4 linked regions of the Tamandua tetradactyla genome follow. The protein of the gene in region 3 binds, or shares a complex with, the protein of the main gene of each other region. Links are inferred from orthologs where the notes say so. Each region holds a gene or a part of one and is shown on either strand. Other genes may lie near its edges. The genes, in order: STRIP1, STRIP2, PPP2CA and STK24.

Evidence for each region.
Region 1: the proteins of PPP2CA (region 3) and STRIP1 are in contact, whole or in part, in a cryo-EM structure (PDB 7K36), measured with the Homo sapiens proteins. The link is inferred for Tamandua tetradactyla from reciprocal best matches to the Homo sapiens genes PPP2CA and STRIP1. Residues at the interface, in NP_002706.1 of Homo sapiens: Thr40, Glu42, Ser43, Asn44, Ser171, Pro172, Ser173, Ile174, Asp175, Thr176, Asp178, His179, Arg181, Ala182, Leu183, Asp184, Arg185, Leu186, Gln187, Glu192, Gly193, Pro194, Gly208, Trp209, Gly210, Ile211, Tyr218, Ile224, Thr227, Phe228; in NP_149079.2 of Homo sapiens: Gly421, Leu422, Pro426, Phe436, Lys443, Phe444, Pro460, Arg461, Pro462, Ile463, Glu465, Ser466, Thr469, Leu470, His473, Arg726, Lys730, Met733, Ser737, Tyr740, Gln741, His745, Arg746, Leu747, Asn748, Asp749, Trp751, Ala752, Tyr753.
Region 2: PPP2CA (region 3) and STRIP2 share a complex: the UniProt entries of both Homo sapiens proteins name them as parts of the core of STRIPAK complex. The link is inferred for Tamandua tetradactyla from reciprocal best matches to the Homo sapiens genes PPP2CA and STRIP2.
Region 4: PPP2CA (region 3) and STK24 share a complex: the UniProt entries of both Homo sapiens proteins name them as parts of the core of STRIPAK complex. The link is inferred for Tamandua tetradactyla from reciprocal best matches to the Homo sapiens genes PPP2CA and STK24.

What each region holds. Positions count from the first base shown.
Region 1 is NC_135337.1:12,888,742-12,896,841, forward strand, and holds the start of STRIP1 (striatin-interacting protein 1), read right to left. Parts: upstream 3,122-8,100; 5' UTR 3,113-3,121; coding exon 2,933-3,112; intron 390-2,932; coding exon 320-389; intron 1-319. UniProt on the Homo sapiens protein: Plays a role in the regulation of cell morphology and cytoskeletal organization. Required in the cortical actin filament dynamics and cell shape. Part of the striatin-interacting phosphatase and kinase (STRIPAK) complexes.
Region 2 is NC_135327.1:170,910,200-170,918,096, reverse strand, and holds the start of STRIP2 (striatin-interacting protein 2), read right to left. Parts: upstream 3,041-7,897; 5' UTR 2,994-3,040; coding exon 2,847-2,993; intron 1-2,846. UniProt on the Homo sapiens protein: Plays a role in the regulation of cell morphology and cytoskeletal organization. Required in the control of cell shape. Calmodulin-binding scaffolding protein which is the center of the striatin-interacting phosphatase and kinase (STRIPAK) complexes.
Region 3 is NC_135346.1:13,268,744-13,275,783, forward strand, and holds the start of PPP2CA (serine/threonine-protein phosphatase 2A catalytic subunit alpha isoform), read right to left. Parts: upstream 3,125-7,040; 5' UTR 2,763-3,124; coding exon 2,661-2,762; intron 1-2,660. UniProt on the Homo sapiens protein: Catalytic subunit of protein phosphatase 2A (PP2A), a serine/threonine phosphatase involved in the regulation of a wide variety of enzymes, signal transduction pathways, and cellular events.
Region 4 is NC_135330.1:167,460,481-167,468,276, reverse strand, and holds the start of STK24 (serine/threonine-protein kinase 24), read left to right. Parts: upstream 1-4,658; 5' UTR 4,659-5,046; coding exon 5,047-5,088; intron 5,089-7,796. UniProt on the Homo sapiens protein: Serine/threonine-protein kinase that acts on both serine and threonine residues and promotes apoptosis in response to stress stimuli and caspase activation.

The sequences.
Region 1 (8,100 bases), on a different chromosome or scaffold from region 3:
ACACTTGCTGCCAGCCCTCGGGACCCTCTAGGAGAGACCAATGTCAGGGGCTAGTCTATGGTCAAGGGACATCACTAACTGTCCCACATTACGATGGGTTCTGGTCAATGAGTTGACTACACAGAGGCTTCAAAAAAGTGAAGGACAATCTAAAGTCATGAGATACTCAAGGCTTGAACCAAATAATATTTTTAATACACATCACTAATTGGATTGAGAAAAAAATTAATTTCAAAACAATATTCATATTCTTAAAGATCAATAAGAAAAAAAACACACTTCCCTCATCCCCAAAACAACACAATGATCTATGCTTTACCAGAGAGCTCTGCAGCCCACTTGTCTGTGTCAGCATACTCAAACTCGAGGTCTGGTGACTCGGAATAGCCCTGTTGAGATACAAGAGAGCCTATGCAAAAGAACATTCAAAAAGTTTTCCAAAGGAAAAAACAAACATGCTTCCAGACTCACCATTGTGTTACAGGATATCACTGCCCCACTTTTTTGTTGTTTTATCACAATATTTTGTCTCCTGGGCCAGCTCAGTTTTCCCTATTAAATCCTCTCTGAATATCTTATACTTTTCCTTCAGAGCACTTAACATAACTTCGAATTATATATTGGCATTTATATTTGTGTAGTATCTATCTTTCCACGAAACTGCAAGTTCCTTGAAAATAGGAATGTTATCCAATTTGCTCACCGATGATTTCAGAATGCCCAGCACAGTACCTGGCATGAATGAGTGAATGAACAGTTTAAGCTCAAATACTTGTTGAATGAATGAATACAATGCTTCTCTGTATTTTGTGTAGTGAATGACCAAGCCAGATGGTGCGAAGATTCCAGAAGCCTCATTTCTTTCTAGCTAGTGGACTATTAACTGCTCAAGACAAAGTGGGTATTGAAAGCCCTTCAGCTTTCCTGCCCCTCTCTCAAATTTCAATGAGAACTGAAGGACTGGAGAAGGCAGCAGTGGCAGAGAACGGCTTCCCTCCCACACATGGGACAACGCGACAAAGATAATATTTTTACTGCTGGGGCAGATGATTACTGAGAACACACTCTTTGTTCTTGTATTGGGGCGAAAGAGGAAGCGAAGCAATAGGTTATGTTTTAGTCTGAATCGTAATCTACTTGAGAAGACAAAGACCATCCATGGTATGCTATGAGAGCAGACCCACAAACACAGGGCAACTAAAAGAACTTTACTTATTTGGCCCATTCAGAGGCAACACAGTGTACACTTTTACAAACCAAGCTTCGGTTTCCTAACACATGGAATGGGGAGGACAAAAATCTACCTTGTTGATTTTAAGGAGTAATCAAAATTATGTAGCACACAGTGGGCTCTCATCAAGTGTCAGCCTCCCTGCCCTCCAAGCATTCACTCTGCTCAGGCTCCCAGTCTATTGATTTCAACTATGACTAAAGAAAGAGCAGAGAGCAGCAGCAGCAGCATCTACTAAGAAAATGAACTTAGACTTCTCTCAATTTAAACGAATCCATTTGACTGCCCTTCCCTGCGCTAATTAAAGGGCATAAAGGGAAATTAAAATGCATTAACTATTATTCATAAGTACTTAAAATGTAAAACTCTTTTTAAACTATATCTTCTCTCAAAATGAAGGTGGGTTCACCCCTATCATTTTCATAACCCTCCTTACTTCAAAGGGTAGTAAGAACTCACCACTGGAGGAAAAAATAATAACAATAAAGGAAGAATTCACCATTGTTGTCCCATCACCCCATCATGTTATTTAGGGCTCCTGAAAAGTTGACTTCATTCCTTTTATCAAATAATTCACTTCAAGCTCAGGGCACATAAACTTTATAGTTGCCATATTTTGACATGTTTTACAATGTGTGTTGGGCTTGCCAACAAACAAACAAACAAACAAAAAACAAAATAAAAGTTTGAGAAGAACTGATTTCACAGGTGTAAAGACAGTATCACTGGGTGGTATGACCCAGTACATTCTTGACAAAAAGGAATTCCTTCCCAGTAAGTGCATGACTGATGATCAACCAGCCTTGGAGTTATCTCAGGTGAAGGAGACTCATAGTAAGTGTTCTGGAAACGTGCTAATTAAGAAACCCTAAAATTCTGCGATGTATGTGTCTTCATTCATGAATTCCACAAAAGGAAGCAGTGGGAGGAATTCTTTAACTTGGGGAGAGGTGAATAGTCAGCTCCAGAACGGAAGAACAGCCCTCTAGCAAGAGAGAAGGGGATGTTGAGCTCTAACACATGTTTAAAATGTGCATTTCGGATTTTTAATATTTCAGCTTTAGGCACACGGGACATAGCAACCACCAAACACCAGCACAGCATCAGAGGGAACCGGGCGATTCTCCCCTCCTACCCTCGCAACCTCTGGGCGCACAGTATCATTAATGATAATTAGCTCCGTCCGGCTTCAAAGTGCCTTCTAAACCCTCGCCAGTTCCTCCTCTGCCCACACATGCCGTCCACAGCGCGCTGCGGGAGCCACAAGCCCGAGCCCGCGAGCCCGGGGCCGAGGCCAGAGGCTCAGAGATTAGGGGGTTTGGGGTCCAGCCGCCCCGGCCCCCGGGAGCGCACGCAGACCAATGACTCTTCCCACCGCACTGGGCCAGAGGGCGGCTTTCCCAGCGGTTGTGGCCCCGAGGCCGCCCCCACAGTTCCGGTCCCAGAGGAGCACACGAGCCGTCACCCAGCTCCGGACAGTCCTCCGGGGCGGCGGGGCTCCGGGCGGGGACCCCGACTTCACACCCCTGGCCCGGGAGACACCAGTCTTGCTTCCCGCCCCTCTCGCTTTAAAATGACAGCTCCCAGGCCCGGCCGTGCCGACTCCCTCTAGGAAGCCCAGTGTGGACCCTGTGAAGGGATCCACTTCGGATCCCCGCCGCCGCGCGCCCAGTGCCCACCTCGCCCCCCTGATATCCTGACCTCCGAGTCTTTGCGTTGGTTGCGGTTGAACTCTCGGGCTTTGCCCCCGGGCAGAAGGCTCCCGCCGGCTCGCGGTGCCCCGGGTGGAGGTTGAGCGGATGCCGGCGGCGGCGGTGGCGGCGGCTGAGGCTGCTTGTTGTTCACGATGAGCGGGCTCGGGCCGCCAGCTGCCGGCTCCATCTTGGTTGCTCCACACCCCCGGCTCAATTCTCCGAGTCGCCGTGATGCAACTCTCGCGTGATTTCTGTCAGGGAATCTCCCTGGTCGCCATATTAAGTGTGGCAGCGTGTGCTGGAAGCCATCTTGGCTGCTCAATAAGCTCCCGTGATTGCCTGTGTCTGAAATGTTTGTACTTCTTCCCTTTTCTCCAATTTTAGTTTCCGCTCTCTTTCCAGTCCCGATAGTTTGGATGACATTTTATCTGTGAGGACTTCCTTAGAAATTTCAATTTAGTTGTCGCCTCCTTCACTCAATGGTACTTTGCACTTGTCACTGTTACAGCCCTGTTAAAGACATTGCGGATATAGCCGCCGTAGACAAGCTGGACAAGCTTCTAGTCTTCACGGAATGTACATTTACATGGGGGAGACAGCCACTAAACAAATTAATAAAAATTTTGAAAGTACTAATCATTCATTCGGCAAATATTTAATGAACACCTCCTATGCTCCAGGCAGTCGAATAGAATGGGCAACATGTCAAGTTCCTCAACACATAGTATATTCATAATGTCTAAAAGGGTAGGACAAACAACAAGTACATACATAATTAGAGACATACGTGCTGTGGAGAAACAAAGAAGCGTAAGGGATTAGAAAGTGATGGGGGGTGAGGGCAGAGGTTTGACTATTTTCGGTTGCTTGGACAAGGCAGGCAGGCATAAGGAGGCCAATTTTGTTGAGTCCTGAAAGGAGTGAGGGAGAGAGCCATGCAAAGATGGGTGGAGGTGACACTGGCAGAATGACCAGCTAAGTGCAGAGCCCTGAGGTCTTTGCAGCTAAAATTGAGCCAGCCAGGGGAAACCTGGCTGAGGGATGAGTGCATCAGCCATGAATGGGAAAGCTGCGTGTACAGGGCACCACGGTATCCAAACGTACCTGCACTCGTTTCTATTTCTGTGTAACAAATTATCCTAAAACCTAAAGGTTTAAAACAAAAAACATTTATTATATCAGTTTCTGTGGGTGGTGAACCTGGAGATGACTTAGCTGGAAGCCACTGGCTCAATTCTGATGATGTTCCAGGGCTGCTGGCTCATCCCAAGGCTTGACTTGGGGTGAGGAAGGAGGTGATGGGACAGATTCAAATGATATATAAGGTTAAATGATAGGGGTTGCAGCATATTCATTTTCATATCATGTAGTGGTATTTTCATATTGTTCATTTATTTTTTTATTAGAGAAAAGTGGTGGGTTTTCAGAAAAATCATGCATAAAGTACAGGGTTCCACAAGTCACCTTATTATTAACATCTTTCATTAGTGTGATACATTTGTTACAACTGATAAGAGCCCAATTTTATAATTGTACTATTAACTATAGTCCATGGTTTGATTTTGAGAAGAAAATTAGAAAAGCAAAAGAGCTTGTTTACTGGATAATAGCAAACCCACAGCTCAGACAGGAAAAAGCCGCAAGTGCTGGTTTGCTACCCACCGTATGTGAGAGAAAGACAGTTCCCTCCTCATTAAATCTCCCCATTAAACTTGAGCTAAAGCAGGCTTTGCTTAAAAAACAAAAACACATGCACAAAAACAAGACTCAAACCTATCCCCTCAGTTGACAAATTTGCATGAAAGCAAGCAGCAAGTCAATGCTTTTCAGAGGGGTCTGTTCAGCTGACCTGGAGAGCAGTGTGCTACCTCAAATTTATCCAGACTCCTCATCTGCTCCCGGACTAGAAAACACTTCTCAGTTGCCCTTCAGAAGTAATTTTCCCAGATAGATATACAAAGGCAAGAGAATCATTGAAGAGAATGGGCCTTTTGTTTTTCATGCACTGAAATAATAGAATCAATAATGAAGATGAGTCATTTTGTGATTTAAGAGCAACCAAGTCAAGAGCCCAAGAGCCCAAGGGCTTATCAGTGGACTACTGGTGCCCTAAGTGTGGATATTTTTGACCCAGTTTGGCTCTGGCTTCTGGAAGCAGAGCTCAGTTTCTGCAGGTTATCAATGTCTGCGTTCAGGAAGAGTTAGGAAAGGCTTGGGACCTGCGGTTTGAGTTTTGGATGCCTGTGGCAAGTTTCTGATGCTGAGAGAAACTTTGCTAAGGTATGAGAAGTGTGCCTGAAATGAGAAGCTGCCTAGAAGGCCAAAGGGAGGCAGGTCAGTGGAGGGACAGGGATGGGATCTGGGAGCCAGAAAGACTATGGGTCAAATCCTGGCTCTACTTCATCAACTGTGATGTGACTCTGAAGAGATATTTGATTTTCAGAATCTTTGTCTCCTTATGGCCCTGAGAGTTAGTTTTAGTAGGCCTGGGATAGGGTCCAGGAATGTGTATTTTTAACAAGCTTCACGTTACCTTGGTATGCGTACCAAAACCTTGTTTGCCACAAGTTGAACTGAACTGGGGCTGTTTCTTAACAGTGGTATTGCTTAGTGTCAAGAGCATTGATTCTGAGGCCAGACCCCCTGGGTTAATTCCAGTTCCAGCAACTTAAAATTGCAAGTCTAAATCACTCGGTTACAACGAATAAAAGGTATTTGCAAAGTCTCCTTGTGGGAATGGTGAGAAAGGGGGAAAATTCAACTTCCCCATTTGGAGAATTCCTGATACTCTTGCAAGCAGTGGGAACAACCAAATCAATAGGGCGAGCCTTCAGTCTTGGGGTTTGTTTATATGAAACGTATCCCCGCAAAGGAAAGACTAAGCCTACTTAAAATTAGGCATAAGATTCCCCCTCTGTACGTGGGACATGACTTCCAGTGGTGTAAACCTCCCTGGCAACATGGGATAGGTATCCTAGAATGAACTGGGACTCAGCATCAAGGGATTGAGAAAAACTTCTCCACTGAAAGGAGTAAGAGAGATGAGAAAAAATTAAATGTCAGTGGCTGCGAGTTTCAAATAGAGTTGAGAGGTTATCTTGGAGGTTATTCTTACGCATTATACAGATATCCCCTTTTTAGTTTAAGGTGTATTAGAGAGGCTAGAGGGAAATGCCTGAAACTGTAGAGCTTTGTTCCAGTAGCCATGTTTCTTTAAGATGATTGTATGATATAGCTTTCGCAAGTGACTGTGTAATTGTGAAAACCTTGTTCTGATGCTCCTTTTATCTATAGTATGGATAGATGAGTAAAAAATATGGATTAAAAATAAATATGTAATAGGGGGAAAAATTAGGCCTAAGAATCACCCCCAGAAAACCTTTTTTGTTGCTCAGATGTGGCCTATCTCTCTCAGCCAATGCAGCAAGCAAACTCACTGCCCTCCCCTTCTCGATGTGGGACATGCCCCCCAGGGGTGTAAACCTCCTTGGCAACATGGGACAGAAATCCAAGAATAAGCTGGAACTCAGCATCAAGTGGCTGAGAAAACCGTCTCCACCGAAAGGGGGAAGAGAGAAATCAGACAAAAGAAAGTGTCAGTGGCTGAGAGGTTTCAAACAGAGTTGAGAGGTTATTCTGGAGGTTATTCTTACACATTTTATAGATATCCCCTTTTTAGTTTAAGGTGTATTAGAGAGGTTAGAGGGAAGTGCCTGAAACTGTAGAGCTATGTCCTAGTAGCCATGTTTCTTGACGATGTATAATGACATAGCTTTTGCAATGCGACTGTTGACTGTGAAAACCTTGTATCTGATGCTCCTTTTGTCTATGATATGGACAGATGAATAAATACGGATTAAAAATAAACAATAGGGGGAACAAAAGTTAAAATCTATTGAGTAGATGGAAATACTAGTGGTCAATGAGAGGGAGGGGTACAGGGTATGGTACGTGTGAGTTTTTTCTTTTTATTTCTTTTTCTGGAGTGATGCAAATGTTCTAAAAAATGATGACAGTAATGAATATACTATTATGTGATGATATTGTGAGCCACTGACTGTACACCATACATGGAATGTTTGTATGTTAAGAATGTTCATGTTTGTATGTTGTTTTGGTTTGATAATACAAAATAAATTAAATTAAAAAAATCACTCAGTAACTCAGTACCACAATTTTAAATAGAAATCACAAACTATTTCCCATGTAATTTATAGAGATGTTTTATCAGTTTGCTGAGATTTTTTAATCCCAAAGTGAATCTGGGCTGGGATGCAGATGTCTTTAGCATCTGCTACCTTTGAGCAAGTTGCTCAACTGCATCATCTCAACTTCTCCATCTGTAAGAGGATGTAAAAAACCTTATCTATGGGGTTACTGTAAAGCTCAAATATGCTAATTGTGTAACACATTGAGGATGAAGCGTAGATACACAGCAAACATTATACACTTTACGATCATTATTCCAGGGTTGTAAGCCTTTATCCAAATTCCAAAATTCAAAACAACTCTAAAAAAATCAAGTGCTTTTTCTCAAGCTTGGCACAAATTAATTTGGCAGCAAACCCTAATCTGAATTATGGGAGTCCATTAATAGTCTTTATTTATCCCTTGTGCTGTGAATATTCATAAGTTTTGCTACAGAAATATTAACATGTTTATGGGTGCTGTGTCGCAGCCCTCTAATAGGTATTACACAATCTGCAGTATATTCGTCGATTACCTAAAAATCTGAAAAATTTTCAGTTTCAAAACCTAAGGGTTTTGGAGGAAGGGATTGTGAACTTAGATTTTATCATTTGTTGGCCAGAGACCCTGGCAACCAGGTAACAGGTGAAAACTCGCCATCTGGTGGCTGCAATGGAAAATTATACTACAGGATAGCAGGAAGAGGGGAAAAGGCCCTGGGATCCAGTGACAAGTATCTTCTGGCCTACAATCCAGAACAATTCGTCTTAGGGGAAAGAGGGAACTACTACACCGAGACTTACTCAGTAAGCAGAGCTAGGAAATGTTTGCACATACACACACATACAAGCATACACTCACTCTGCCTTTCCATATTTACTTATGTTGAAATTCACAGGTTTACACCAATATCTCCAATTCAAATCCAATACCACCGAGTTCATTCTAGTTTCTTCCGTTTTTAATTTGTTGCATCCTCTCCGAAAA
Region 2 (7,897 bases), on a different chromosome or scaffold from region 3:
GTTTCCATATGTAAGATCTTTTCTAATCATAGATTCTTATAAAAAGAATTAATGCATCTAATCCTATGAATATTTGTATGGCTTTTTGTACATGATAAGCTGTTTTTCAAAAACACTGTACCAATTTACACTGCCAAAAAGGCAAATCATGTTTAAATCCACTGTAGCAAAGATTTCCAAAAATTTCCAGTAGAAATTTTATAAAACAGAAAGTTTGATAGTGGGAATGACACTGAGTTATTGATATTTTGTTTGAATAAGTAGGGACTTACAAATCTTTTTTCAGAAAACACTTCAAAAAAGAAAGAACAGTTTAATATGCTAAAATTGGAAAGGACATAATCTCAGAACAGAAGAAAGCTATTAAAAGTACAAACACACTTACAAATGTCCCAACACACACACACACACATACACACACACACATATAAAACTGGACCAAAAGTTTAACAAAATAATCTTTACCCTTAATATTTGTGATGTACTCTGATATTTTTAATTCTGTTTCTTAAAAAAGAAAATGCTGGTCCCAACTCACAGGTTGCCCTCCAGTTTGAAAAACACTGCTTTTAAATGAAATATACTGTATACACCCTTTAAATTAGATATACTGAACTGCATTTTATGAGAAACTCGATTCCCTGCTCCGAATTCTCCTCATTTTGCCACAGACCAGTTAAAATTTTGTCAAGAACATTGGGAATAAAGAGACCAGGGGAATCTGGCTTAAAGAGGCAAGAGATGAACCCCTTTGCTATGTTAAGAATCTTTTCATTAGGCAAGCAATTATTCTCTAGCTTCCTTTTTAGGTTGGGATGTTCGTACATTAAGCTATTGAGAGAGGGGAAGTCAACGATGCCCACATAAACAAGGTGATATTCAAGGATGCTCCCTTGATTTGTTCCAACAGTAATTCTCTTCTAGTCATTCTCTAAGTCCAAGAGAGGAAGGAAAGCTATCTCCCCTGAGGACTGTGCTTCATGAAAGCAAAAGGAGAGAGGGTGGGGAAAGGAGCTAGCCATTTGAGTCTGGAACCTGGTGCTGGGGGGATAGGGAATGTACTGATGGGTAAAAGTGATCTCCTGCTGCAGAGGAAGGTGGAAGCAAGCTAATTTTCCAGCTAGTATTTTGGCAGGCAGTGAGCCCAGATAGAGATGATCACTGCAGTTGTTAGTTTCCAGGAAAGAAAAGTGCAGTTGCAGAGAGTTAGGAGGTAAACTGCGGTGAAGGATGGAAAGGTCTTAGTCTCCGAATGCAGAGACCATTTTGCTGAAGGAAGACTTGAGAGTGGGGAACAGACCTCCTCCTTCAGAAGGGAGTTTTGGACAGGGATTGTTTTAATTCCCTTCTTAGCACATATTACTCCGAAATTATTTTGATTATTTATTTACATGCAAAAATTATCTGACTTTCCCCATTAGAACATTAGCTCCACAAGGGCAAAGTCCTGTTCACTGATGTATACCTAGCACTTAAAACAATGCCTGACAGAAAGGATACAATAGCTAGTTGTTGAATTAATAAATGACTCATCCACCCAAAAAACACATCTGAATAAGAAAAATATCTCTGTGGTGTGAGGAAGGCACAGAGTGCCCTAAGAGGCCAGGTTCTTACTGAGGCAGGGAGACAGATGATGTGGTGGATGGAACATTGACCTAGCAAGGCAGAAGGATTAGGGTTCAACCTAGCTCTGCCTCTGAAAGGTGGTGTGACTTTGGGTCAGTCTCTTCACTTCTTCCACTTGTATCTTTAAAACAATTGGAAAGATTCCTACTCTGCCTTTATCACAATGAAAAGCATCCCTGAAATCACTCTATAAACTGAAAAATACAATTCATATGGCAAGCCATGGACTGAACATGGCTTCAAATCCTCATCTAACGACCCCAAAGCTGGTGCTCTTGGCCACTACGCCAGGTGTACGTATGATCTTTGGCAAGTTACTTCTGTCTCTTTCATGTGTGTAAAATGAGAGGGCTAGACTAGAGACCCTTCCACAGCTGGCATTTTGTGGTTTTATTATTCTGATCCATGCTCAGATCCAATTCTATTCTAGGCTATTTGATGGAAACTGGCAGGCTGGAGGTGTGGGGGGATTGAACAGAATGCACTCCTCTCATCCTCTTGGTTAGGATTTCTTTTTTAGGAGAAAAGGAAGAGACCCAAACATTCATACTCCTAGCTATGTTTGTATATTAGGACAGTTCTATCCAAACATCCACTTCTTTCACTGCTCCTATCAAAGTCCTTTCTAAGGTAGGGTTCCTCAAGGCTGTGGAAGGCACTCCCTAAAGGGCCAAATAACACACAAATGGAAGGGGAAGACCAGAGCACACACCGCAAATCTGGATCGGCTCAGGGACACGCGACAGGTAGCCTTGGGGCGGGAGGGCTGCCCCACCCCGCCGACCCTTCATTTCAGAGGCTTTTCTGAGGTTGAGCTCTGGCCTCCAACCCTCAGGCCAGTATCTTAACCTCCCCGCGCCTGTTTCCTCCTCTGCAGGATGGGGACCCGAACTCCTACTACAAGGGGCTGAAACGATTAAATGAGATAATATTTGAAAAGCATCGGGACCACACCACACCGCCCTACATTTTTGCGCCTCCACGGGAAAGGCCTGAGGGGTAAAAAGCCCCCAGTGCGCGGCGGGAGACCTGCGGTGAAGGGTTGGGGTGCAGCGCTAGGCGTGCAAACTCTAGTGGACTCTGGAGACACCGGCTCCAGGAGCGGCCCGGGACACGCCGTGGTCTCGGGCGGGGGAGGGGACGCTGAGGAACCACCTCAGCCTCGGCTTCCAGCCCGCGGGCGTCTCCCGGCCCCAGCCAAGGTTCTGGCTCCTCACCTCCGACTCCCGCCGCTGGTTTCTGAATGCTTCCCGGCCCTTAGGCGCCGCCGGTTTCCCTTTGCCGCCGCCGTTGCCGTTGCCGTTGCCGTTGCCGTTGCCATTGGCGGGCTGGCTCCCGGCCCCGGCGGCCGCTGGGTCCTCCATGAGGTTAGGATCCCAGTCGGTGTCTCCGCTGCCTCTGCCCTGGGCGACCCAGCAGCCGCGCGCCGGGAGCCCGGCCCCGCCCCCTCCGCAGCTATTGGCTACGGCTGCTCCTCGCAGCCCCGCCCTGCGGCCCGATTGGCCCTTCGGCCTTTCCGAGCAGGACTTGGAGCAGGTAGGGGGTACATATAAGGTTTTTAAAAATTTTATCTTATTTTTTAAGTCGTGCCGCGTTGCTGGTAGCCAAAGACTCCTGGGTTGGCTCACGGTACCCCCTCGCGAGTTCTGGGTCTTAACCTTAGTTATCTCTGCTTCTCTCTAGGTGTCCTTCAACCCTCATTCTGCCTCAAGCAGGTACATTTTGAGGGGAGCCGTAGTCTTCGCCTCTTGCTCCACTGCTGTCTCTGCTTCCCCATTTTCACAGACTTCTGCCCTCTCCACACCTCCTCCACACTTACCAAATCCCCTTTCAGTCGCAGTGGAGGGAGGGCACCAGGGGTGGCGAGGGACTCCCCAGAGAACAAGGGACTCGGACTTCGCCCTCTGGAGCTGAGATTTCTGAAGCGAACGCATCCCGTCCGGAGTGAAGGGTTGGCTGGCAGATAAGGGGTTGGAGGGTGGGGTGACGTTTTCAGGTCACCGAAATTGTTGGATGCCCTGGTCAGCTTTCTCTGTTCTTGTAGGGCGCCTTCTTCATGGTGTGAACTAGGCAGTAAATATTGGAGAGCAAGCTGTCACCCCCACTCTGCTCCCCAGTCCTTTCCTTTCTAAGATCCTTCCTAAAGTTTCGGTGTTACCTGAGGCAAATGAGGCTATGTGGTCTACCCTCCCAGGAATTTATGTAAAAACCAGCTTATAGTAAATAACTAGGGCAGTCTGTGTTGTTGGTAATAGAAGTCCCCAAACAAGCAACATGAGGATAGCTTTAGGAAGGGATTTGGGTGTGGTGTGGTGGTGGTGGTTGAGCTGACACTGGTCTGACATTGCAGTAATCACTTTCCTGAGACCAGGTTATCATACTCTCTGATGGGTTGATTTCACTAATCCACTGTATTTATGAGGAAACCAGGACTCAATAACCCTCACTGTTTCCAAGCTGTTGTGTTCTATCTCGTCTCAGTGTCTGCATATGCTGTTCTTTCTGTCTAAAGGAAACTTCCTGTTCTCTTGACTGATAAATTCTTCCTTAAAGATTCTATTTAGTTCTCACCACCTCCTCCTCCAGGAAGCCTTCCTCTTGACCCTCCTGGAAGCATTCGTGTGAAACTATGATCCCAAACCCTTACATTTTCCACAATATCCCCTAAACAAGTGGCCCAAAGGAATTACCCCCTATTCCCACATCTTAGGGACAACTTTGTCCCCTTCTTAAATGTGTCTCTGCCCGACTCTTCCCTTGGTTTAGTCAGTAAATGACAGATCAAGGCAGAGTCGGTGGGGGGAGGGGGGATGGAGGTTGTGTTGCACTCCTTGGATCTATCTGGGTTCCCTTCTCTCCCTGCTCTCAAATGTCTCCTTACTGTACCCACACAGTTTTCATTTCTTCTCCCACTCTGCCCTCCACCTGGATATAAGCTCCTTGAGAGTCTTGCTCATTTTTGTATGCCTCATTTTTACAGGTTTATCAGAGGGTTTTTCAACTTTCGTACTATTGACATTTTGGGCTAGATTATACTTTGCTGTTAGGGACTGTTCTGTGCCTTGTAGAATGTTTCGGAGAATACTGGCCTCTATTCACTAGATACCAGTAGCACCGTTCCCCCCACCACCGAGTTGTGACAATCAAAAATGTCTCCAGACCTTGCCACATGTCCCCTGGAGGGGGTTGGGGAAGGGACAAAATCTTCCTGGGTTAAGATCCACTCTTTTAACAGAACTGAACTAATATGAATTTTTAAGAAAGTCCCTGGCTCAAGACCTAAGCTATTTGAGTTTGGAATTTTTTAGTGGGTATAATTTGTTAAACTCTTAAGAATTCACGCTCTTCTTTAAAATTTATAACCCATGCCTAGCTCATTACTGCTTAAGTGTCATAAACCTGTCACAGCACAGCCAATGGGGGCTTCTTAATACAAAGAATTAATCATTCTACACTTCCGTCTTCCCAGTACCTTTCCTTCTAGCAGCCAGAGCTCTAGGATTGACAGGCCCAGAACTTCATATTCTCTTTTGTGAGCCTAGCCAACCAGCAGGATTCCCAGCAGAGGTAATAGATGGGAGTCACCACTTTTGAGGCTTTGTTCCTTTTCCTGCCTATCTTGGACAAAGGGAGGAGACTGATCATCAATTGAGAATAAGATTGAAGACAGCCCTCAAGTCCCCTTTGGCCTCTATTTAAAGCTAATTGTTGAACCTAGAGCTCCATCTGGCTTCACTCCTGGAAAAGGGAATTGAAAAATTGGTTCTATGGAAATTGTAAAGAATCGATATGAAGAAAGACCTTAATCCATTACCGTTTCTACACCCCAGTGGAATGGGAGACAGATCAGACATCTACCTGTTCATTATAGGCCCAGACTTTCAGAGTTGTCATAAGGAGGAAGACATCGAGAAACAACCCATGGAAGAAGTAATAAGAAACCAGATATTAAATGAAAACTTTGAAACCATGGAATTGGCACACACTCAATTTTTTTTAGCTTATTTTTCAACAAAGGAGTGACGATCATCAATACCATTGATCACAGAGTCATTCATAAACATACTTGGGAACTACTCAGAGGCTAGTCTACAAGTTCTTTCATCTTAGAGATGGATCCAGGACTGTTATTTTGAAAGCAGATGGGCCTACCCTACCAATTTCCCTTGTCCCCAAACTCAGGTATTCTAAGCCTGACAGAGGGTTGGAGATAAAAATAGTTACAGCACCAGTGCTCCATATAAGCACTTTAACCCATGGAGGTCATATACTTGATTAAAGCGACAATACCTGGCACTGAGAAAGCTTAAAAACAGGGTGTAAGAAGTCTTAAAGAACCTAGTTTGTGAGTATATATGGCAGCTAGGATTAATAGAAAAAGCATAAAACATTCTCCTCCCCCCATGAACGGCGCATGTGGGTATAATGAGGCAATGGATGCTGTAGGCCCCAGACTGAGGCAGGGAATTGATGTTTATGCAGTATATGATGTGTGCCAGGCTCTGTAAACAGCATTTTTATAAATCAGATAGTTAAATCCTTGCCCTAGCAGATAAGCACTATCCATTTTGAAGGCAAGAAAACTGAGACTCCAAATGGTTACATAATTTGGCCATGTCATACAACTTCAAATCCAAGTTAGTCTAATTCAAAGCCCAAGCTCTTTTGAGAAACTAGCGCAGCAAGCCTGAAACAAGGACCCAAAGCACCCAAATTTCTATGTCTCTAATTTAAAGAGATAAACTTTTACCTGATTCACTTTTTTCTTCCTATTGGTTGGATGTAATCAGATCCTAGGTGTCAGGGTCCTTTGGCCTCAAGCGGTGGGGATACTGACTTCTTGTGTTCTTCAGCCAAGGGCAACACACATTGGGCTTGGGGGACTTAAAGCCAGGCTTTTGCATCCCTGCCTTAAGCCTACACTTCTCAACTTCACAGCACATGATAAGGGTTCTAAGAAAGCAGGTTTTCTACACACACACCAGGTAAGGGGGATAAGGTATATTAGTGGAGTGACTCCATCCCATGGAATAAGGGTCTCAAGACTAAGTACATTCAAACATACTTATTTGTAACTGCCTCACCTTTTCACATCCTCACCCCACAACAGTCTCTCTAGTGTGTTGCCCAGAGGCAACTCCCATCTTTGTGGAATTCCTAGATCACAGAAGTAAGGAATACTCTCAAGACAAGAATGCATTTTAGGAATATTTTATTTGTCTTTGAGATTACATAGTCATTATTGCTGATCTAATACAATCACTCAGACATACAGATTTCCAAGAGCCTCTCAGAAATGACATACCTCAGAGGTCTTATTTCCTTTCAATAAGATGACAGTAAGAATTAGATGATTATTTTTTGAGATATACATATATATGTATGTATAGTTCAGAACTTGACCACATATAATTTGCTGGTGTTGCCTATTTTCTTTCCGTAATTTTCCTGTTAAAAAAGCTTAATGCGACAATGCATTTTAATTTCTTTTTTTTAAACTGTGACAAAGCTAATTTTCAGAAAACCACAGGAGCAGCAATTTCAGATCTGTTCAGAGAAAAGCCAAGCAGCAGAAAAGCTTTGCAGGAGTATATGGCCATGGGAAGCCGTGCTCATATGGAACGGTAGGATGGGGAGGTGGGAGGGCAAAGAAAAGTTGTATCAGATACAATTTTTTTTAATGAGAAAAAGAAAACAATATTTCAATTAATAAGATTTAAAAAAAAAGATCTTGGAAAGTAGCACAAATTCATTGTAGGGAAAATGGAATGTATCCCCACAGGCCAGGGCCACACACATAGAGATAATTACCTCTCTTTCCCATATTTCCAGACCTAGGATGCATCTAAAGTGAGAACTTGTAGAGAAGATGACATATTTGTTCTGATTCCAAGGGTAAAGGGAATAATGACCAGATTCCAACACTAAGGGTAAGCCCAAATTCTCAGGAGTAGGCCTAGGCCTTTTTTTTCTATGGGTGATGAAACAGGGTTCCCAGAAAGAGAAAGAGAAATCTTCTGATTCTCAAAGGCAAATACCTCACCATGGGCAGCAACACTAGCAATCTCACTTAAGTCCCCAGCATGGCTCTCTTTTTGTTTGAAATGGGCCTCTTCACTCTAACAGGGCATAGTATACTCTGTAAGGTTTAGCACATGCTGAGCTCCACAGATTCAGGCTTTGCTGAGAACAACGTGTTAAGATTTTTGGCCTAAGAACATTATAGACTAGAATCCATATTTTTGCCTAATTGAATCTGCTCTGCATA
Region 3 (7,040 bases):
ATAGCTTTCACCCAGTGGTGCTACTGGCCATAAAATTATTATCAGTAAAGGGTGGGCAACGGTGGCTCACTGGCAGAATTCTCTTCTGCCATGCCAGAGACCCAGGTTCGATTCCCGGAGCCTGCCAATGCAAAAAAAAATTTTCAGTAAAAGAGATTTTTTGTTTTAGTAGAAATGCTGTATAAAACCATTTCAAGCTATGCATCCTAACTCATCCCACATACCTAAAAAGCTGCCTTCAAATTAATTACCTTGTAAAGTTGATATAGTTTCAAAAGTTGAAATATTTACAAGCTAAAAACAGCACAAAGGCTAGGTGATGAGAGCCCCCACCTCCACCCCCACAAAGAGTCATTCCATGGAAACATTTATGTAACACTTCAAATATTATTTTCATCCTTTTCGCTTTCAAAACTAAAATGTGGACAAGCTAACTGATCAAAGGAGACTTGAAAACAAGCTTACTTCACTGGTACCTTAGTTTTATAAAGATATGGAAAACAACATTTAGCAAATCCATCAAGCTTCCCTCACCCTACCTCAGCCATCCAGTTTTATCTTCCATGTCTCCAACACAAACCCTCAATTTCCATGGTACATCTCCTTACTGATTCCCACACCACAGTTGTCTCTCCAACTAGATTCAAAGCTCCCTGAGAATAGGAATGATTATTTTTCACTGTTTTGATTCCCCTCAAAAGAGTAAGCAATTGTGGATACCCAAGAGATGTTCAATACTTAAATACAAAGTACTATATAAAACAGAATTGTAAAGTCGCAGGAAATTAAAAGGGATTTTAGAATGCCTGTTCTAAGTATTTCATAGACAGGTAAATGAAGACCAACTGAAGCGGTTGTCCCAAGGTCAGTCTCAACTACTCACTCAGTAACAGAAACCGGACTTTTGGGTCCAAGTCTAACTTGCAGTTGGGTGGTCTTCAGATTATATCATCATTACCTCTCTTCCAATGTTTTCTACAGGAATAACTAGTCATCTAGTCCAATATTGACTTGCAAAGAGTTAGTACCAAACCCCTAAAGTCAGTAAAATCATTATATTACTCAGAAATTAAGACAGGGCAATATACATTAAATAATTTTTGAAAGCCTATTTCAAACCTTTTAAACAAATACCAACCTTATGTGACATAAAAGAAATGAGTCAAAAAGCAACAAAATATTCAGTACACTGCTAACCATTAAAATAAAGCTCCAACAGATGATGTGCCACCTCTAACTAGCAGTGCTTTGTTCAGGCTTGGAATAAACTAAATTTGATTCGCTTAAATTCCAATTATTCACAACATGGGTTCTGAGAAAGTCTGTCGTGGGAGCATATACATTAAACTCATGATCCTAATTTTCACATCAAACCACTAATGAGTCAGCATAACAGCTCTCTAATAACTTTTCACTAATACAAAATGCTAATATGACATTCCACAATTCTGTACTAAAATGAAATGCTGCAAAGTTAATTCTGAAAAGGGAAGTTTAAACTATTCAAAGTGGTGATCCTTTTCTAAACTTAAGAAAACGGAGTTACAAGACTTTTAAAAATACACACAGCTAACACGCGTACAATTAGGCAAACCGTTTCCCCAATCCCTAAGGACAAATAAAACAACTAGATAATATAAACTACAAAGTTTAGCGTTATTAAGTGGACTACACCCAACCCATTTTCAACGTCTTTGAAATTATCTAAATTCCAAGATGTGTTGAGAACACAGTTAAGATTCAATCCGCAGCTATTATTATTACTACTACTAGCACTAAAAAAATAAAATCGAATTAACTTTTTCAACAAAGAGCCACAATTCAAAACCTGCCGCTCTTCCAGTTTATTGCTCATTTTAAAAATGGCAAAATGCCAAGTATGTTAAACTTAGAGAAGGGTTTCACACAACCCAATTTGAGTCAGCATATAAATCACAGATTAAACCGAACCTGATTTCCAATCCAAAAGCTCCTTATGCAGTGTGACTCACCAAAGTCTTCCTTTCTTCCAACTGTAAAGAAGTATTTTATACTCCTCCCCATAATTATCACTTTGACCTTGGTATAAATTAGGTTACAGATTTAAAATTTCTTAAAAATGCACTTTAAATAAGTGTCTGGAGAACACCATTTGGTGAATGTAATCCAAACAACCTGGGATGGTACTAAAGCCCTGTGATCTTTAAGGTCCTAGATCTGGCCGACAAGCTTGCCTTTGGGGATTCTGTGGACAGCACAGCACCTGAGAATTAAGCTTAAGTACAAGTAAAATACTCCTTAACCACCTCACAGTAGAGGCCCAGGCCCCATTCCCAGGCCGCCATACCCAAGTCCCTCTACCCGGACCTTAAAATCGTCCAAGACCTCGACACACAGGGTCTCCGCTCCCCCAGCTACTGTGGTCCGGCTCCAAGGCCAAGAGGCTCAGAACCCCTAGTTTCTGGCGAACGGCGCCATTTTAAGCGGCGGCGGCGACCAATCCTTGGGCGGGAGACAGGGGGCGCCGGGTCCTCCGGAGCCGCCGCCGGGCCGCGCCGGGAGCCGGTCTGGGAGGAGCTGGGGGCCCGGGACGGCTGCCTCCGCCATGTTGCCCCCTCCCGGCGGCCGCCTCCTCCGTGGGCTCACCCCGCGGCGGTTCCCGAAGCTGAAGCCCAGCTTACCTTCTCGCAGAGGCTCTTGACCTGGGACTCCGACAGCTGCTTGCACTCGTTCAGCTGCTCGATCCACTGGTCCAGTTCCTTGGTGAACACCTTCTCGTCCATGATGCCACCCGCCCGAACCGGCTGCCCCTCCGCGCTACTCCCGCGCCACAGCCCGCACACGGGCCAACCGCACACACTGCCGCCGGTTCCCGGGATATTACTGGGGCTGTGTGCGGTTGCTCGACCCTAAAGCTGGTCTGCCGGCTCTTTCCGCACTGTCGGTCACTGGCCGCTACGCCTCCTCCCCTTCTCGCTCTAGCGCCGGGGCTCGGTTCTCTGTAATGGCGGCTGCCCGGCGTGGTGACGTCACGCCCGGCGTCAGACGCGGCGAGGTACGAAGGGGAAAAGGGCTGGGACCCGAGCTGCGCAACTGCAAATCGGACGCTGGCTGACCGCAAAAGCCCAGTGTGACGGTAACTAGGAACCAAGGCGCAGGCGCAAAGTCGCCGGCTGATAAGTGAGGCACCTTCGCTTTTAGGGCGTGGCCTCTCAGAGAGGGTGGGAGTGGGATGGAGTTCGGGGAGGCGGGGAAGAACCGAGTCTGAGCGAGCGCAGTGTTTGCAGAGGCGAGCAGGGCATTTTCCCGAGGTCTACGCCCCGCGAGGCGCCGGCGCCGAGTTCGGCGCAGGCGCAGTCCGTGTGGGAGGGGGGACTCCAGAGCTGCCTGAGTTTTCTCTTGCCGAGATCGGCTTGGTAATACGCCTCAGCGGTTTCCTTGGGAACTGGCGGGCAGATCACGGAAAGGAAATTGCGACCACTCCGCTGGCCCCTCCATGCTGCAACAGCGCGGGAATTGCGTGGAATTCCCGTATCTGTGGGGCCAGGGACCGGGCTGAGATGCAACCTGGTTGGAGTGAACCAGACTCTGGGCGCGGCCGGCAGCTGGTAATTGGGTCACTCGTAGGCGGAAGAAGGTGTACCTGCTGGGGGAGTGCCGCCCAGTGCACCCGAGTGCCCTAGCACACACCTGTCCCCGGGCCTGGGTGTCTCGTCAGGCGTGGTGGCGGGGCCAAGGCTTGGGCTTCTGCCCGGGACTTGGACACACCCCGCGTGGCCTTTCGCCCCAATTGTCCGCCTTCCTCCGATCCCAGTTTTCCCGCTCGCCCTTGCTGTTTCCCAGAGTGGGAGGCCGCGGGGATGGACGCGTCGGTTCCGACCGCTTCCGGATGGTGACAGACGCGGCGATGATCCTCGCTTTTCAGAAAGCCCGGATACCCTAAGACGGGACCCCAGTCTGATTGTGAATCTCTGTGAGGTTTGCGAAACGTGTTCACATTCCGATGTCCCAGAATTTACAGAAATATTTGGCCTTGGAGAGTGCCCACTATGTGCCAGATAACCAACCCTGCGGAGAGAGGGGTCATTCAAACAGTCAAGGGACGCTGCCCGGATGGAGCGTGCATTTTCCCAGCAGTACCGGCTTAAAATGGCTTGAGGAGAGACAGAAGAGGGCTTATGATGCCCCCAGAATCTGAGAGGTAGAAGCTTTGCAAAGGACACGTAGCCAGAAAGGGCAGCCGTCTCCTATCTTCTAGGCCCCCTGCCCCCAACACAGCCAGGCCCCACGCGAGCACGGCGCCTTGTACCGGGGGAGAGCGCTCTCAGCTCAAAGGGCATCCCGACCGACAGCCTGGGAAGAAGGCCTTGGAGTCCCGGATTAGCCAAAGGTGGGACTGAAAATCCTTCATCCAAGACAGTGTTTGGCAAGGCTAACTGGCTTGGCCATCCCAGGCTGGGAATTGCAATTCTGCTTTCCTGTCATGCCTCCCACTACTGCACCCAAAAGAGTCCCTTGAATCTCTGCAGAAAGCTTATCACATACTTACCAGACTGGGGAAAAGCCTTTTTAGACCAAATTCTGACCCTATTTTGCAGTTAACATCCTCCAAAAATAGTCACTTAAGACCAGGTGGAATGAATAAGGAAAAAAATCACCCGTGCCCATGATTAAAAGCCATGCCCAGCGTGCTGTCTCATCAGATCCCTCATCACTGCTCTCTTTCTCTGTGAGAACTGATCCTGTCTGATCGGCAAGAAGCAGGCAGCCACTCAGAAAAGGAACTTGCCCCAGGTAGTGATCGAGATGTGAAACTTCATACTCCCAAGTGCAGGGTGTTGTCCACATTCGCTCAGCTGATCTTCCAAGGGCTGAAATATGGAACAGGGTCCATCCAGTTTCCCTTTGTCTGCAGTTCTCTTACCTAGAAAGGTGAGGGTGGTGTTAGTTTGGTAGATTAGACAAATGTTAAGCACCTACCTTGTGCTAAGATTATGAGTGGATTTTTCTAAAGTACTTTGAAATCCTTGTTGATAGCATAAATGTAGGTGTTCTTTTCTCTTGATGCAGATCTCTTGGCTCACCAACACCATAAAGTGGAGGGAAGATGTAATTATATGTACTTAAGACATCCTGCCAAATAATTAGATGCCATGACTTAACTTCTTAAGGAATGAATTTTAGGAAGCTCTCATTAGTATTCATGTAGTGAAGTAAAGCATACATGATTATAAACAGTACAAAACTAAATTATTCAGAATATTTTTTCCTTTAGAAGAAATCTGGAATATTCTTAACTCTGTGGGACTCAAAGTAACTGATGGATCTGAAAATTCAGTTTGACTAGTTTGAACTTGACTGATTTGACTTCACTGACTCAGTTCTAGAAATGAGGACTATTTGAAACAAAAATTTTAAAGCAAACCAAAAAGAATTGTCCTTTTAATTTCTTGGCAAAAAAGCAGAGAACAAATAAAGCAAATATGGTTTGAGGAACAATCTTTGCTCAGATAACAAATTCAGTATACAGAGAGTCTGAATGTTGCCTCTGATGTTTAAACATGGCTATAAATAAAAACCATCTGATGACGGGGGCAGGGTAGGGGGAGGATAACCTTGAGCAAATGACTGTGTAACAGGCAGGCTTAGCTAAGATATAAAAATTGACATTAAACATAGAGAAAGAATTCTCTTGGCCTTAACTTAGGCCTATTTTGTTGTTGTTGGTCCAGCTCCCTGACCTCTGTACTTACTGAGACACAAAGTAGAGCAGTATAGGTAAGCAATGGCTCTGGAGTCCAGTGAACCTAGGATTGAATTCTGGTTCTGCAACTTCTTAGCAGGGCGACCTTTGGCAAGTCACTTAACTTTTCTGTGTCTCAGTTTTCTCATCTATAAAATCAAAATAGTTGTAATTGCCAAATAAAAGTGCTGTTCTGAGAATTAAATGAAACTGTAAGGGTTAGGGGGTGTATCATAAATACCCTAGATATTATTATTATTTCCAAGTGGTCTGTAATTCTAAATACCTTTTAATGTCAGCTGGAGCCTCTCATTGCCTGCCTTCTACATAATGAAATACTTAGTGGTCTTTGGAAACAGAATGAAAGGATATCAAAAACACGCCAAGTAGAGACAAAGTAGGGATGGGGGAGGAGATTGAAGGAAGGAGAGGTGGAGATGAAACAAAAAGGAACACCATCAAGCAGACATTGAGAAGGCTTGTTGTATATAGGAAGTCATTTGAGAGTAAATCCAAGAATTAATACAGTTGGTCAGTCTCCGAATCTTATATCAGAAAAGTGTGTTATATCTTAAAAGGATAAAATGCCCTTTGCACCAAACCCTTCCAAGCTCCAGAAGCTCCAAATAAAGATCTGAACAATCCACATCTTAGTGGCCCTGATCGTAAGAAACCAGGCAAGCTCTGGCCATGTGTGCCTGCCCAACTGTCAGAAGATTCCTGCATTCAACGTTCACAACAATGCTGTAATGCATTACTATCTATTCCTATTTCTCTCCTTTGTGGTTTTCAAGAAAAAGTAAGTTGATGTTGCCCTTTCAACTGGATTTAGAATTTAATAAATGTGGTCAAAATTTTGTGTGAGGAAATTTGACAAAGATATAATACAGCCCTTTCCCCTAGCTACTGAAGTTTGGCTTGAAGAAAGAGAGAGAGAGAAATATGACCATATCCCCTGGTGATGCCTATGACATCCAAATACCAGTCAGAATTACACGGAAATATTTTTATCTGTTCCAGAAAAAAAAAAACTCAGAAATGAAAGGTGAAGTTCACTACTTCAGTAGGCTGGGTAAACCATAAAAATACTGTCACCAGTTCTGCAGCTTATGAAAAATCCTATCATATATTCTCACAAGCAGTGGGGACAATCAAAGCAATAGGCTGAGCCCCCAGTCTTGGGATTTGTTCATATGAAACTTAACCCCACAAAGGATAGGTCACACCTACTTAAAATTAACCCTAAGAGTCACCCCCCCCCCCCCCCCCCGAGAGAACCTCTTTTGTTGCTCAGATGTGGCCTCTCTCTGCAGCTAAC
Region 4 (7,796 bases), on a different chromosome or scaffold from region 3:
AAATGTATAAGAAAATATTAAGAATAAAAAAACTTTTTATTCAACAGCATTTGGCATATGCTATCATATTGCAATTTCACTTCAAAACTTTTAATATAAATGTTCGTTGTAGGAAGTAAAGACAAGAAAAGAGAAAAAGATCACCTTTAATTCCAGGAATAACTGTTAAATCTTTTTGTCAATCTTGCTAAGGGCCCATCAATCTTATTGATTTTCTCATAGAACCAACTTCTGGTCTTATTGATTTTCTCTATTGTTTTCAATTTCATTTATTTCTGCTCTAATCTTTGTTATTTCTTTCCTTTTGCTTGCTTTGGGGTTAGTTTGCTGTTCTTTCTCCAGTTCTTCCAAGTGGACAGTTAATTCCTGCATTTTTGCCTTTTCTTCTTTTCTGATATAGGCATTTAGGGCAATAAATTTCCCTCTTAGCACTGCCTTTGCTGCGTCCCATAAGTTTTGATATGTTGTGTTTTCATTTTCATTCGCCTCAAGGTATTTGCTAATTTCTCTAGCAATTTCTTCTTTGACCCAGTCGTTGTTTAGGAGTGTGTTGTTGAGCCTCCACGTATTTGTGAATTTTCTGGCACTCCGCCTATTATTGATTTCCAACTTCATTCCTTTATGATCCGAGAAAGTGTTGTGTATGATTTCAATCTTTTTAAATTTGTTAAGACTTGCTTTGTGACCCAGCATATGGTCTATCCTTGAGAATGATCCATGAGCACTTGAGAAAAAGGTGTATCCTGCTGTTGTGGGATGTAATGTCCTATAAATGTCTGTTAAGGCTAGCTCATTTATAGTAATATTCAGATTCTCTATTTCTTTATTGATCCTCTGTCTAGATGTTCTGTTCATTGATGAGAGTGGTGAATTGAAGTCTCCAACTATTATGGTATAAGAGTCTATTTCCCTTTTCAGTGTTTGCAGTGTATTCCTCACGTATTTTGGGGCATTCTGGTTCGGTGCATAAATATTTATGATTGTTATGTCTTCTTGTTTAATTGTTCCTTTTATTAGTATATAGTGTCCTTCTTTGTCTCTTTTAACTGTTTTACATTTGAAGTCTAATTTGTTGGATATTAGTATAGCCACTCCTGCTCTTTTCTGGTTGTTATTTGCATGAAATATCTTTTCCCAACCTTTCACTTTCAACCTATGTTTATCTTTGGGTCTAAGATGTGTTTCCTGTAGACAGCATATAGAAGGATCCTGTTTTTCAATCCATTCTGCCAATCTATGTCTTTTGATTGGGGAATTCAGTCCATTAACATTTAGTGTTATTACTGTTTGGATAATATTTTCCTCTAACATTTTGCCTTTTGTATTATATATATATCATATCTGATTTTCCTTCTTTCTACACTTTACTCCATACCTCTCTCTTCTGTCTTTTCGTATCTGACTCTAGTGCTCCCTTTAGTATTTCTTGCAGAGCTGGTCTCTTGGTCACAAATTCTCTCAGTGACTTTTTGTCTGAGAATGTTTTAATTTCTCCCTCATTTTTGAAGGGCAATTTTGCTGGATATAGGAGTCTTTGTTGACAGTTTTTCTCTTTTAGTAATTTAAATATACCATCCCACTGTCTTCTAGCTTCCATGGTTTCTGCTGAGAAATCTACACATAGTCTTATTGGGTTTCCCTTGTATGTGATGGATTGTTTTTCTCTTGCTGCTTTCAAGATCCTCTCTTTCTCTTTGACCTCTGACATTCTAACTAGTAAGTGTCTTGGAGAACGCCTATTTGGGTCTAATCTCTTTGGGGTGCGCTGCACTTCTTGGATCTGTAATTTTAGGTCTTTCATAAGAGTTGGGAAATTTTCAGTGATAATTTCTTCCATTAGTTTTTCTCCTCCTTTTCCCTTCTCTTCTCCTTCTGGGACACCCACAACACGTATATTTGTGCGGCTCATATTGTCCTTGAGTTCCCTGATACCCTGTTCAAATTTTTCCATTCTTTTCCCGATAGTTTCTGTTTCTTTTTGGAATTCAGATGTTCCATTCTCCAAATCACTAATTCTATCTTCTGTCTCTTTAAATCTATCATTGTAGGTATCCATTGTTTTTTCCATCTTTTCTACTTTATCCCTCACTTCCATAAGTTCTGTGATAACTGTTAAATCTTGATGTTATACTTTCCAAATGTTTTCTAGTTACAAACACACACACACATACACGAAGTAGCCTGAGATTAGACTATACATATTGTTTTGTGTATTTTCTTTATATATAATGAAAATATTTTCCATATTACTAAATATTGTCAAACATTTTTAATGAATATATAATATCCCACTGTATGAAATACTATCATTTAACAATCTGTTAGACTTTCAAGCTAGTCCTACTTTTCTTGCTATTATAAATATCATTGATTCTTTTTTTGCACAGGCAGGCACCGGGAATCGAACCTGGGTCTCTGGCAAGGCAGCGAGAACTCTGCCTGCTGAGCCACTGCGGCCCACCCTGAACTGAGTATTTTTTTTTTTTATTAATAAAAAAAAATTAACTAACACAACATTTAGAAATCATTCCATTCTACATATGCAATCAGTAATTCTTAATATCATCACATAGATGTATGATCATCATTTCTTAGTACATTTGCATCGATTTAGAAAAAGAAATAGCAAGACAACAGAAAAAAATAAAATGATAATATAGAGAAAAAAATAAAAATACAAAATACAAAAAATATATATATATATAAAAACTATAGCTCAGATGCAGCTTCATTCAGTGTTTTAACATAATTACATTACAATTAGGTAGTATTGTGCTGTCCATTTTTGAGCTTTGGTATCCGGTCCTGTTGCACAGTCTGTATCCCTTCAGCTCCAATTACGCATTATCTTACCCTATTTCTAACTCCTGATGGTACTCTGAACTGAGTTTTTAATATACATTCGTGCGCACTTCTTAGTTATCTCCTTAGGAGATGTTCCTGTTGGTAAGATTCCTAGATTGAAGAGTATGAACAAATTTAAGATTCACGTTCTTACCCATTTTGCCATTCATCTCTTTCTATACCTGTTTTTCCAGTATAGTAAATTTACACAAGATTGTAGTCTCCTGGGTATTAGGGTTCTAGCTTTGCTTAACCTTGTATTTCCCACATTGTCTTCAGAGTACTTAAGGAAGCAGGGCTGGAGGTACAACGAAGCATACTAGTGACCACGGTGAAGGTATCTGAACGTGTATCAAAGAATCCGGAAGAAAAGTATGTATATTTCCAAAAGGTAGGCGGGGATGAAGTTTTAGCGTCCCACGCCCTGTCTGATCCAGAGAACGCGAGAAAACTGAAGTCCTTGGAGTACAGTGACACCTCAGAGACTCAACACTCCTTACCACAGGAGAGGACTTGCGTATTTAGGGTCTATTCCAACAGCCTGTGAACTCTTGGGAGCTCATTAGCATGCCCAACCTCGCACAGTGAAGTCTCAAAACGGGGGCACTCACGGCTGTCAGGGAAGTGCAGGGTCCCTGAGACCTGCGGTGCAGTAATTCTGAATGACGCGCAGATCCTTTCAGTGGCTGCCACTCTAAGCATTGCAAATGAAATGCTTTTTGGAGGCAGCACTGACTCATTCCATCCTTATTTTTCCAATGTAATTGGGGTGGAGGCGGCTAAAAGGTGGAGGCAGAACTGGCGCTCAGTAGGCCTGAGACTTTCACAGGCAGTCGAAAGACAGGAGCTAGCGGTGTGTGTGTGTGTGTGTGTGTGTGTGTGTGTGTGTGTGTGCGCGTGTGTGTAAATGTCTAGACACGGTTTCCTTCCAGGGATTGTCTTCTCTTCCTCCTTGCCCCTCCCCATCCTATTTTTCCCTTCTCGTAGGCAGACGCTCCCGCCTTGGTCCAGAGCCCAGGGAATGTGGGGTTCAACCTCCTCACTTCTTCGCTAAATTCACAGCGCCTAGAATCCCAAAACGAGCTGTTTTCAGTAGTGAAATCACCAGGAATTACCGGCTCTCTTGGCCTCTCCCTTCTCGGTTTCCTCCTTGGGTTGTTGAAGTTTCACCCAGACACCGAAGAAGCTCCGCCCTCGAATTTTTTAATAGGTCACAGGCTGAGGCCCCTCGGGTCACTCTCCCAATCTAAGTTTCCCCTGACCCAAACCCTGCCCTCGGGGAGGTCGGCGGAGACCCATTTCCCCGGGGCCAGATGAAGAGGAGGAGGGCTTCGAGGGCCGGACGAAGATGGTGGAGTAAGAGTTGTTGCAAACCACTCCCTCGCGGCACAGGCTCTCCTTTGCGCGGGATCGGGTCTCCGGCCGGTGGCGGTGGGCACGTGGCCAATCCCCGGTTCCGAACTCCGTCGCCTCCTCCCCACGCCCAGCGCCCGCCCCAAGTGAGGCTCCCTCGGCTCCCAGCACCCGCCTTCCCTTCCTCTTCCCCTCCCTGCCGACTAGGAAGGGGTAGTGGCGGGGGAAGAGCCCTCGGAAAGGTTCGGGCCGCCGGCCCACCTCCAGCCAATCGGCTGGGCCCGGGCAGCACCCGACCCCGGTAGGCGGCGACTCTCGCGGCTGCGGACTAAGGCGCCCGGGCGGCCGCCGAGCCTCCTCCCCCTCCCGGAAACGCGGGGCGGGGTCCCAGGCCGGGCCTCGGGGGCGGGCGCGGGGGCCGGGCCGGGGCGGGCCGCGCAGCTGCAGCCGGGCGGGGCGCACTCGGGGCTGGCGGGCTCGGCGGGTTGTGCTCCCGGACTCCCGCTCCCAGGCCGCCAGCGCAAGCGGGCCGAGGCCGCCCCGGCTCCAGCCAAGCAGCAGCTGCAACTCGCGGCGACGCTCCGCGCCCCACGCGCCTCCGCGCAGCCCCTCCCCGGCACCGTGCATGGAGACGCTGCCCGCCGCCCGCCGCTGAGCCCCGCCGCTCGGACCGGGATCTGCCGGGGCAGAGGGTGGGCTCGGGATCCGGCCGGCCCCGACGAAGCTGGACTCGGGCTTCCCCGGTAGCCTCCGTCGCTCGAGGTCTGCGTGCGGGCAGCGGGCCTGGTCGCCCGCACCGACCGCTTCGGCCCTGCCGTCCCGTCCCAGGAAGTGACCGTCCTGACCGCCATGGCTCACTCCCCAGTGCAGTCGGGCCTGCCCGGTATGCAGGTAGGTACGAGCCCCGGGCAGCGGGAGGGGCGGGATGCGGGGGCTCGGGCGGAAGCGGGCAACTTGGCGGTGTAAACACAGCCCCCCCCCCCCCCCCCACGCTCACCCTTCCGGGGTCGCGCGCCGGAGCCTCCCTCGCTGTGTTCCCCGCTGCTCCGCGCGCGCGGCCCGGGGCTGGGGAAAGAGCCCTCGGAGCGCACACGCGCCCCGGCCCGCTCGGGCGGCTGGGACTGGGCGCCAGGCGGGGTCCTCCCCTCCCATCCCGGGCGCCCTTGCCCCTCGCCGCAGCCTGCCTCTTGGCGTGGGGGGAAGGGCCGTAGGGACCGCGGCCTGGGTCTGGCCGGGGGTCCACGGTGGAGGCGGCCTTCGCCGGCCGGAGTCGCGGTTGTTAGGGAAGAATGTGGCGGAACCGGCCTTGGGTCGCCTTCCCGGTTTCCCTCTCCCCCCATCACCTTCCTGAGCTCCGGGCAGGCGTCGGCCGCATCCCCAGGGAGAGCCGATGCCAAGAAATGCCCTGGGAGGCCCCAGCTTAGTCCCTGGGCCCTGTATGCGGGCCTGGGGCGGAAGGGCCCCTCAAGGCTCCCGACCCCCGCCCGCCCGCCTCCCCCTCTCTTCTGGGTCTTCTGCCTTCTCTGGAGGGCGGGAGGTAAACTTAAGAACTGGGAGGCGAGCCGAGAGCGCGCGCGGACTGGTCCTGGCCCGCGGCGGCCCAGCCCGGGTGGAAGGAGCGAGGGCGGGTGTCGAGGAAGGTGTAACTGCTAGTTCCACCTCTAGTAGATTTGTTCCGAGCGTTTTGTTCTGAGGGAAGAGTGCGAGCTGGTAAACCTCCAGGAAGAAGAAACGGTACAGCGTGCACTCGGGCGACCCAATCCAGGCTTTTCCTACCTGATGCCGGGATACCGGACTTTTCCTTTAAGGCTTTACTGGGCTTAGAGTAGTTGTTTCCCAAGAAGTGTCTCCGTGGGTACTTTGTGGCATCATGGCCTACCACTGACTTTTATTGGGGGGATTGAGTTTCAAATCTGTACTAATTCATTAAAGTTTTTCACTGTTAGCCTTTTGGAAAAAAGAAAACCACTCTCCTTCGCTAACTTGTAATTTTTGTAAATGCACAAATGGTGGTAGCAAAACTATTAGGATTAAAATCAGTTAGGATATGTCTAAAGTTTTGCTCTCTCAAGCAAGTGAACATAAGAGCTTTAAGAATAACCAGAAGTATCCAAGTGGATTATTATCATGTAGATATCAGTGGAGTAATTTTCTCTTCTCTTCTCCTTGCGGGTTGAAAAGCCCAGTGTAGACAGACCTCTTCTATTATGAGCCAGGCATCTTCCCCCCCTCCCCAAAGAGACTTTTTTTTTAAAACATTAAACAAAACAAAACAAAAAAGACTGGGTTTCATCGTTGAGGTTTCAATTCTAGAAAAATAGGAACTCAAAGTTACTACTTTAGTGGCGGCTGTAATTTTAGACCGACTTTTTTTTTTTTTTAAAAGGAGTAACAGTTAATGTTTTGTTTTAAGCCTGTGACTAGGAAGATGCTTGAAGAAAGTCTGTCCTTGAATCTCATTTAAAGTTCTTTTATTGTATTTAAAACGTAATGCTGTGCTTATTTTTGCTTTGTAAAAATCAGATGGGATTTTTTTTTTAATTTTAGCAGTTTTATTTAAGTAGAATTTACATGCAATAAAAGTCACCCATTATAAGTGTATTGTTCAATAAGTTTTCGCAAATATATATGTATATATATATTTAGTCATATAACTACTACCATGAGATTCAGGGATTTTTGAAGCAGGACTCAGGCAAGGGGAGCTGCTGGAAACTGGTTTGGCCTTGACTAAGAAGGACCTTTTTTTCCTCTGGGAATGGGGTAAGGATGATATAAATGTATATAAATACTCATTGAGGGTGGGGTGGAGTAGGATATGGCATTGAAAGCATTCCTAATGTTATCAGATGGGATTTTGAACATAAAGCTCTGCTTGGTTTTTATTTGGAGACAGAATGAAGTTGGTGAGAAAAAAGTTTCTTACCAGTAAAACAAGAAGGACCTCCTGTAATGCTTTAAAAAATACATTTTATGAATATTTCCTCTAGACTGACTTTTATATTGTGTTAATCAGTTTGTAATCTAGCACAAATGCCTCACTTAGAATTCACCTTTGTGGAAAGTGAGTCGGTGTGAAAAGGTATTTAAAGCTCCAGTGACCTGCACTAAGAAGTCTGTATCAGATGGTCACTCTTTGGTATCTGGTCTCAGTGGTTTGTTTGTCTGTTTTGCCCTCTTTTTTTTTTTTTTTAAGGGAGTGGGCCAAAATTTGAAAATCTTGGGAAAAGACAGTAGATTTCCTTTAATCACCTTGCCTCCAAAATAAAGTGTATTTCCTAGGTGGTATTACAAGGGAACTTTTTTACTTTGCTTTCTCAGTGAAAGAGCTTATAAATTTTTCTTAGCAAGAAAGCTGACCAGGTTTTCAGCAGTTACAGTTTTAGAAAATGGCTTTATGTCACAGTCATTTCTGTACTTAAATACCTCTATAAATCTTAGTATAACTGTTTTTGAGTGTGCCATTTGGGATAGAAAATTTCCTCTATTCACACTTATCCCCCAAAAGATAAAGAACAGGCGCGTTTGTTTGCAATTTTGAATTAGGAGCTGCTACAGCTCAGGGAGCCTTCCCTAAGAGTTGTTGAGGGTTAAATTAA